2 linked regions of the Macaca fascicularis genome follow. The protein of the gene in region 1 purifies or fractionates together with the protein of each later gene. This does not show direct contact. Links are inferred from orthologs where the notes say so. Each region holds a gene or a part of one and is shown on either strand. Other genes may lie near its edges.

Region 1 (4,430 bases):
CCCACAAAGCTCAAGTGCCACAAGGGCAACACCCTCTTCCAGGTCCCCTCTCTGCAGCAGAGAGCTTTCTCTTTTCACTTATTAAACTTTTGCTCCAACCTCGAAAAAAAAAAATAAAGTGACCCACAAGCTAGAAAACCTTTTCAGAATACTTTACTGACCACTAATAGATATGAACTAGAGAAGAGGCTCAATATTTAGTAAGTGAAAAAACAACGGTCGCTGGCCATGGGCCACTTTAACCTTTCTTCCTTCCCTTGACCTCTAAGCATTTTCAGCTTCACTCATTCATTCGACTGGTCTTCAGAAAAGGCACCCCTCCTTTTCCTATCCTCCAGTCTGTTTCTGATCCTACTGCCTTCTTCATGAGTCTCCCTGTCCATAGCTATGTTCCCACCACCCGTAAACAGTGAAATTGCCCACATCCTTCCACGCACTTGTGATGCAACACAGATCCCTCCCCAGCCCTCTGTTCCCCAGGCACCTTCTCTATTTCCTTCTCAGGACAAATTTCCTGAAGAGTCTAACCTTTCTGTTCTCAGTTTCCATTCACTCTTCAACTCCCTGCAATCCAGCCCCTTCCACCAACACTCTACCAAAAACACTTTACTTGATTTTCACGAACTTTGAGGATGCCAAAACCAATAGCTTCTCCTCAATCTCCACACTAATGAATATCTTAATAGATTTATCTCAAGTCACTCTGTTCCAGATATAGTGATCATCCTGATGTATCCCAAACACACGAATGCCTCATTCCTCAGCACATAGCTCCACATGAAAATATTCCTTCGTGTTCTTAACTTCTGCTTATCTCAAAACCCAACTGAAATGACATTTCAGTGGCGTCTACTCTGCACCCCAGTGGGGAAATCTGCTACACCTTGTACTGTGATGTGTGCTCCCTTCCCCACCAATGAAGGGCGCTCAAGGGCAGGTACCATGTCCTCTTCACCTCTGTGTTATACCTGGCACCTAATCCATGCCTGCCTCATACTAGATGGTCAACATGTGAACTTATAATTCACAATCACAAGAGTCAGAGAATCAGATGTCCAGGCTCAAAACTTCAGAAAATATACTGTTTCAGATGAAAGCGGTTTGCCAAGGACATTTTTAAGCACTTAGATTTCATTCATAGTCGAGTAAATATGGTTCCAGTTCAACTTGTTCCAGGTTTTCAGTAAGTTTGGTTCAACTCCCCTGTAAGAGCCAAAGTCCTAAAATGAAACATGAAGGCAAGGAGGGAGGCGGAAGAGAAAAATGGTGGATAGAAAAAAAAAAGGAGGGGGTCGCGGAATCACCATCAATACTCGAAAAAGCTCATACTGTTACAGGCACTCATTTTGATCACTCCGTGTTCAGCAAGCATTTTACTCTTTAAATTCAAAGATACAAGTCTTTTTTTTTTTTTCTTTTTTGGGACGGAAAAGTTGTTGTTGCCCAGGCTGGAGTGCAATGGCGCAATCTCAGCTCACTGCAACCTCCACCTCCCGGGTTCCAGCAATTCTCCTGCCTCAGCCTCCTGAGTAGCTGAGACTACGGACGCCCGCCACCACGCCCGGCTAATTTTTGTATTTTTAGTAGAGACGAGGTTTCACCATGTTGGCCAGGCTGGCCTCGAACTCCTGGCCTCAGGTGATCCACCCGCCTCGGCCTCCCAAAGTGCTGGGATTACAGGCGTAAGCCACCACCCCGGCCTTGAAGTCTCTTTACCCTAAAGTTACAGAGCAAAAAGGATCCAAAAAAGTTGTTACTAAGATACAAGGACGAACCTCAAGAAGGCCAAGATCAATCAGCCTTCTACAATTCCTTCTACACCATCCAAGTTTATCTGCTAAATATGAGTTCCCGCCCTTCCAGGCCTAATCTGATCACTGGGCATCCCCATCCTCCAAGGTGGGAGCCACTGATGTCACATCCAAGGCAACATAATCGTACAATTAAACTTTTGGGAAGGAAATATTTTGAAGATTAACCTGAAGAGGATATTCAACTAAGATGCATTCCCACCACGGACTGATAACTGTGTGACATCAAACAGATGTATTATTATAGGAATAATAAGGAAAACCCACAATGTCCTTTGGCGTGAGCCCAAACTACACAAAATTAAATGTGTAATGGGATGGTGTTACCAGGGTACCGTAAAATTAATCGTCCAACTGGGAAAATCAAGGAAGACGAATGCCAGCCCCCACGTGCAGGAACACAGGTTGGAAAGGAGCGCTCCTCAGCCCCGCACAGGACGGCAGCTGCCCGGGTGGCGGAGGCGGCCACGCCGGGGCACGGCCACGGTCCCCGCCGGCCGAGAGAGCCTGGGGCCCCCGCGCGAGCTGCCCCGGCTGGGGATCCCGGCGACCCTCGTCCGCCCTCAGAGCTGCTCTCCCGGGAGCCGAGACGCCTGGCGCGGGGAAGGGGGAGACGCGACCCGGCGCCAGTCCCGCTCAGCAAAGGAGCAGAGAGCGAGGGGGCCCGTTGGGTGGGGGGCGGCGACCCCAGGGCCGCAGGCCGGGGGCTCAGGGCACGCACTAGGGACCGAGGCACAGAGCTCCCGCCGCCCCGGCCGCCCTCCCTCCCGCACTCCCCCGTGCCCCGGCCTCCCGCGCCCACCCCGCGGTCGCCCCTGCCCTCCGCGCAGTCAGGCCGGCGGCCTCGGCGGACCCGACGCTCTGCGCCCGGCGCGCGCCCGCGACAGGAGCGGGGACGGGGACGGGAACGGGGACGGACGGGGACGGGGACGCGGACGCGGGAGGAGGCCGCGGCAGGAGCGGGCGCGGTACCTGCGGGTCGATGTCGCCCACCGCGTAATACTTGACCTCCCTGAACATCTCCTCAGGAACTTTGAGCGCCTGGTCCGACATGATCGCGGCGGCCCGGGAGGCTCCGCGGCAGCGCCCGGCCCCGCCCACCCCCCGCCCCCGGCCCCGCGGCGCCCGGCGCCCCCGCTCGCCCCGCCAACGGCACTGCCCGCGCGGCCCGGGCCGGGTCCTGCGAATCGGGGTCCGCTCCCCCGCCCTCCGCGCCCCCGCCCGCGCCCGCGCCGAGCGCCCGAAGCGCGGGAGCCGCGCGCGCCCTGCGGGACGCACCATCCCGCCCCGGCCACCGAGGGGGAGCGCCGAGGAGCCGCCCGGCCTCCAGCAACGCCCCGCGCCTCTGCCGCCATCCACGGCTCCGGGAGAGCTGGAGCCCGCTGGCCCGCTCTGGATCTTGCGGTTCCATCTCCGCCGCTCTGCAACGAGGGATCCCGGGGGACGAGGTGAAACCCGAGCCCCCCTCGGCGGGGCCGGAGTGAGCCGGTCCCGGGAAGGAGGGGAGCGGGCAGGCCCCTCCCGTCACCACACGCGGCTGCTGGGGGGCTGCGCATGCGCCCGGCGGAGGGGCGGGGCTTCGGGGCCGCTAGTGAGAGCTGGAGCCGGGCAGCGGCCTCCTCGGGCTTCTTGGTCCCGGGCAGAGTGGAGCTGGGTGTCCCGGCTGTTCTCAGTGGCCGCGGCCGGACCTGGAGTAGTGGCTGAGCCGCTCTGGCCGAGCAAGGTGCGGGTCCCCGGTCTACACCTTGCTGGACCCGGCTCCGCCGTGACGGAATTCCAGAGACCGCAGCATCACGCAAGACGCGCACTGGAGGCCGCCGTGGCGAGTCCTGGGGTCTCCGCCAGGCCTCGACGCCCGAGCTGGGGACGTGCTGGAGGGGCGCCCGGCCCCGCCGCTGCCCGAGACCCCGCTGTCCCGGCCGGGCCCGGCCTGGTGCCTGGGGTCGTGTCCGGTCCGCGCTGGAGGAGAGTCCCAGACGGCAGAGCCCGCGGTGCAGCTCCAGCCCCGGAAAGCCCCGCGCTCAACAGGTTAATACTACACAGCGGCGATTCTAATGCTCATGCTTTTATTTACAGCTCGCCTCCCTTCTGCCAAGATTCACAAAACACGGCAGAGTGGCCTCGGCATCACCTGCCCGAGACACCTGCACGACCGGAAGTTGGGAGAAGAAATAAGGCCACGATGACGAACGCAGCCTTTCACTTTCATTTCCAATCTCACAACAAACCGGAGACCAGGAACTCTTGGGTGATTATCGGAATATTACTTAGTCCTAAAACTGTGGAGCATTGGTTTCTAAAGGAATCTGAGACAGGCCCGCAGTGTCTTCTCCACATGCCTTAAGTCTCTTCTGCAAAGCAGAAAACCATTTTTTAGTAAATGTTAGTGAAATTGGTTTTAAAAAAGAGAAAAGTCCGGGCGCGGTGGCTCACGCCTGTAATCCTAGCACTTTAGGAGGCCGAGGTGGGCGGATTGCCTGAGTTCAGGGGTTCGAGGCCAGCCTGGGCGACACGGTGAAACCCCGTCTCTACTAAAATACAAAAAATTAGCCGGGCGTGGCGGCGCGCGCCTGTAATCCCAGCTGCTCGGGAGGCTGAGGCAGGAGAATGGCGTGAACC
Region 2 (4,570 bases), on another chromosome or scaffold:
AGTTGTTGCGTATAATCTTGAAGTAGGCTTTATGCGCATCATGTCTTTGAAATTGTAATTATCAGATCCATCACTAAATCTGATTTCTTAATGTGCTGATAAACAAGTATATGAGGCCGGGCGCGGTGGCTCAAGCCTGTAATCCCAGCACTTTGGGAGGCCGAGACGAGCGGATCACGAGGTCAGGAGATCGAGACCATCCTGGCTAACACGGTGAAACACCGTCTCTACTAAAAAGTACAAAAAACTAGCCGGGCGAGGTGGCGGGCGCCTGTAGTCCCAGCTACTCCGGAGGCTGAGCCAGGAGAATGGCGTAAACCCGGGAGGCGGAGCTTGCAGTGAGCAGAGATCCGGCCACCGCACTCCAGCCTGGGTGACAGAGCGAGACTCCGTCTCAAAAAAAAAAAAAAAAAAACAAGTATATGAATATTAGATTTGTATATGTTGGAAACTATATTTCCATATAATTGGTGTTCCTTATAATTCAATGTACTTTATTTTATACAACTAAAAAATATTATTCTGAAAGGGGTCCATGGCACAGATAAGGTCAGGTCTTCCTTCATTAGAAAAACCCAGGTGGCTCACGCCTGTAATCCCAGCATTTTGGGAGGCCGAGGTGGGCAGATCACTTGAGCTAAGGAGCTCAAGACCAGCCTGAGCAACATGTTGAAATCCCATCTCCACAAATTAAAAAAAAAAAAGAAAAGAAAAACCCAGAACAAATGAATTGTGTTGCAGTATATACATATGGTATTGACAATCTTATTTTATATTTGCCCTCATAACCTTTCTGTTCATTAATTCTCTTTGATTATATGGGGCCCTGGACCTATTTTCCATGACTAGTTTGCATATTTCCTTCAGAACTCTCCCATAGCCCACGCGAACTTTGAATTTTTCTCTAACATGATCCAACTTCAATTAACAAAATAGACACTCTGGGTCTTTACAATTTTTCACTTTTCTTTTTTAGGATTTTGTGTCCCTTTGTGGTAAACACCTAGAAGAGAAGAAGTATTTCTTTTTTCTTTTTTTTTTTTTAGACAGTGTCTTACTCTGTAATCCAGGCTGGAATATCATGGAACGATCACAGCACGGCTCATTGCAGCCTTGGCCTCCCAGGCTCAAGCGATCCTTCCACCTCAGCCTCCTGAGTGGCTGGGACTAAAAGTACAAGCCACATCAGGTGGCTAATTTTTTTTATTTTTTTGTAGAGATGGGGTCTCCCAGCTCCTGGGCTCAAGCAATCCTCCCGCCTTGGCCTCCCAAAGTGCTGGGATTACAGGCATGAGCCACTATGGCTGGCCGGAGCATCTCTTAAAACTCTACAAAGTTAGAAGGTCTCAAAGACAACAACTTTGCACAATTAGAGATGAGCCAGGAAATACCAAAAAACTGGCTGCCTACCCTCTTTTGTATTCCCTTCAGCCTTTGTATTGCCAAAGTCATTAAAGGAACAAAACAAATTTAATAGTTATCTGGTATATACTGTTACGCTTCACTTCTTATTGTTTTTGTTTGTTTGCTTTTAGTTTCATCACAAGAATGTTATGGTTCATTTCTTAACACCTTTCTCCCAGCTAGCAAACTCCTTTAAGGCAATGTGTTTAGTGAGCAGGCAGCTGACCATTTCCAGTAGACCCTCTGCTACTAACTTGTAAGATCTTGAAAAGTCAACTTTACCTTTCTGTTTCAGCTAAAATCACTACCTGATTTGAAATCTTTACTTGATCTCTCAGGCCTTTGTAGTTTTTATACATTCACTCTTCTTCACCATTTTACTGGCTTCAATAACGCCTTTCGGATGACCTCTCCAGGTGACCCTGCTCTTAAGCTGTGGGCTGTCCCCTTCCAGGGAAGACACCTTGGGTCACCGCCCCCAAACAGCCGGGTCCCTCCTTTTAAAGACACACACAATTCCCTAAGTTGATAAAGGTTCTTTCCTTTCTTGCCAACCAGTTCCACTCTCTGTGCCTCTTTTGCCGGTCAGCTCCTGCACCCAAACCTCAGTCCCCTTTTGTCCCCCTTTTCTCTCATCAAACACCTCCTTTTTCCTGTTGCTTCCCCCAATAGGGGGTGGAGGATGCTTGGAACGTAAGTCTTCAGAGCCTTGGGAGTTATACAGCTTTGCAAATCAGCCCCAGTACCCCAAGGACTGCCCCAATCTGATACCAGCGTCTGTACCCAAAGGGCCCTCATTCCTCATCCATCACCTCCTTCCCTCCCCGCAAAGAACTGCTCCAGCCCTGACAGCCTAAGCTTGGCCCCCATGCCTCCACCCCAATCACCAGGTTCTACCTGCACTAGTGCCCTAAGCCCGCCTAAGGCCTAACCCAGTTCCACGTCCTGCCATCCTCTCAGCCCATGGACCCCAATCCTGGTTCCTTTCGGATCCAGTGTTCCTTCTCCACGACCCTGACCACGACCCCACTACTGGCTCCCGCCTGTTCCCCGGGCCTGGAGCGCCACCCCGTGCAGACCCCGGCCAGCCCTGCACTCCCTCAGTGCGCCGGCCCCAGCGCCCAGCACCCTCCCCACCCCGCCGGGCCGCCGCTCCCTCCAGCGCCCCCGCCCGCAGGCCTGGGGCCCGCTCCCCAACATGGCGACGGGGACATAAGCGCGGCGGGCGGGGCGGCTCCGGGCCGGGCCCGCACTCAGACCGTGCCACTCGGTCGCCCGGCGCCATTTTCCCGCGCCGGGCCCGGGCGGCGCCTCCTCCCCGCGAAGCCAGCCCGACAAGGACCGCGGACACCCGGCGGGCCCACCCCTTACGGGCCCGCGCCGCCGTCGTCTCACCTGAGCGCGGCCCCAGCCCTCCCGGGCGGGCCTTGGAGCGCCAGCCCCGGCCGTGCGTGCCCGCCGCCCTCCGTGCGTCCGTCCGTCAGTCCTCGCGTGCGCCCGTCTGTCCGGCCACCCGCGCCCGGCCGCCCGCAGCCCGACCCGGCAGGGCCTCACCGAGCCGGCGGGGAGGGGGATGGGCCGGACCGGGCCGGGGAGGGAGGGGGAGGGAGGGAAAGAGGGAGGGAGCGCCAGAGGGGGCGGGGCGGACTCGAGGGGCGGGGCATTGCCCACGTGACCAGACGTCCCCGGGAGCGCGAGGTGGAGTGCGCGCCAGCTCGCTTGGGTGCTGTGAGCTTAATGCTGGGATCTCGTGGGTTTCTGTCGGCTTCCCAGTGCTATTCTCTCGCCAGTGAGTCCCGCTGGGGAAACACACACCGAACAGCCTTTTGCGAGCGCACTGAGTATCCTTGGAAATGGCAACTCCAAACCTCAGTTTACCCATCTGAAATATGGGGAAAATCATAGTTCTTGTGAGGAGGAAATGGAGGTAGGCATGGAAGGCACTTGTCACCGTGCCTGACACATAGTGTCTAATAATAAGCTTAATGGGATATAGATAAAAGCTTTCACTATTATTTGCCTCTAAATCCCTCTCTTCTTTTTCCCATCATTACCTCCCTAGCAAGCTAAAATGCTCAGGAAATAGAATTATTGATCGAACGAGTGTGGCCCCTCCCCACTTCCCAAATGTAGAAAGGCCTCCTCAGCACTGGCCTTGACGTCTGTCATACAGGCCTGGATTCATATCTGGCTTTCACTCTTTTTTTTAAATTTTTTGGGCCGGGCGCGGTGGCTCAAGCCTGTAATCCCAGCACTTTGGGAGGCCGAGACGGGCGGATCACGAGGTCAGGAGATCGGGACCATCCTGGCTAACACGGTGAAACCCCGTCTCTACTAAAAAATACAAAAAACTAGCCGGGCGTGGTGGCGGGCGCCTGTAGTCCCAGCTACTCGGGAGGCTGTGGCAGGAGAATGGCGTAAACCCGGGAGGCGGAGCTTGCAGTGAGCTGAGATCCAGCCACTGCACTCCAGCCTGGGCGACAGAGCGAGACCACGTCTCAAAAAAAAAAAAAAATTTTTGTTTTTGTTTTCTTTTTTCCCACACTACACTGATGTATTTTTTAAATTTTTGTAAGTACGTAGTAGGTGAATATATTTATGGGGTACATGAGATTTTGATACAGGCATACATCATGTAATAATCACATCATGGTAAATGGGGTATCTAGCACCTCAAGCATTTATCCTTTGTGTTACAAACAACCCAATTACACTCTAGTTATTTTAAAATGTACAGCTAAATTGTGTGTGTGTGGTTTTTGTGTTTTTTTTTTTTTTTGAGACAGTCTCACTATGTCGCCCAGGCTGAAGTGCAGTGGCGCGATCTCGGCTCACTGTAACCTCCGCCTCCCTGTTTCAAGGGATTCTCCTGCCTCAGGCTCCTGAGTAGCTGGAACTACAGGCGCCTGCCGCCACACCCAGCTAATTTTTGTATATTTTTTAAGTAGAGATGGGGTTTCGCCATATTGGCCAGGCTGGTCTCGAACTCCTGACCTCATGATCTGCCTGCCTCAGCCCCTCAAAGTGCTGGGATTATAGGCGTGAGCCACCGCACCCGGCCAATTGTTTTGTACTATAGTCACCTTCTTGTGCTAGCAAATACTAGGTCTTATACATTCTTTGTAACTATTCTTTTGTCATTCCCGCTTCTCACCCACCTCCCCAC

What was found.
Region 2: the proteins of PAXIP1 (region 1) and NCOA6 purify together in Homo sapiens (co-immunoprecipitation; 6 studies listed by BioGRID and IntAct, with this or other methods). This does not show direct contact. The link is inferred for Macaca fascicularis from reciprocal best matches to the Homo sapiens genes PAXIP1 and NCOA6.

What each region holds. Positions count from the first base shown.
Region 1 is NC_088377.1:196,303,030-196,307,459, forward strand, and holds the start of PAXIP1 (PAX-interacting protein 1), read right to left. Parts: upstream 3,059-4,430; 5' UTR 2,865-3,058; coding exon 2,784-2,864; intron 1-2,783.
Region 2 is NC_088384.1:90,870,879-90,875,448, forward strand, and holds the start of NCOA6 (nuclear receptor coactivator 6), read right to left. Parts: upstream 2,985-4,570; 5' UTR 2,800-2,984; intron 1-2,799. UniProt on the Homo sapiens protein: Nuclear receptor coactivator that directly binds nuclear receptors and stimulates the transcriptional activities in a hormone-dependent fashion. Coactivates expression in an agonist- and AF2-dependent manner.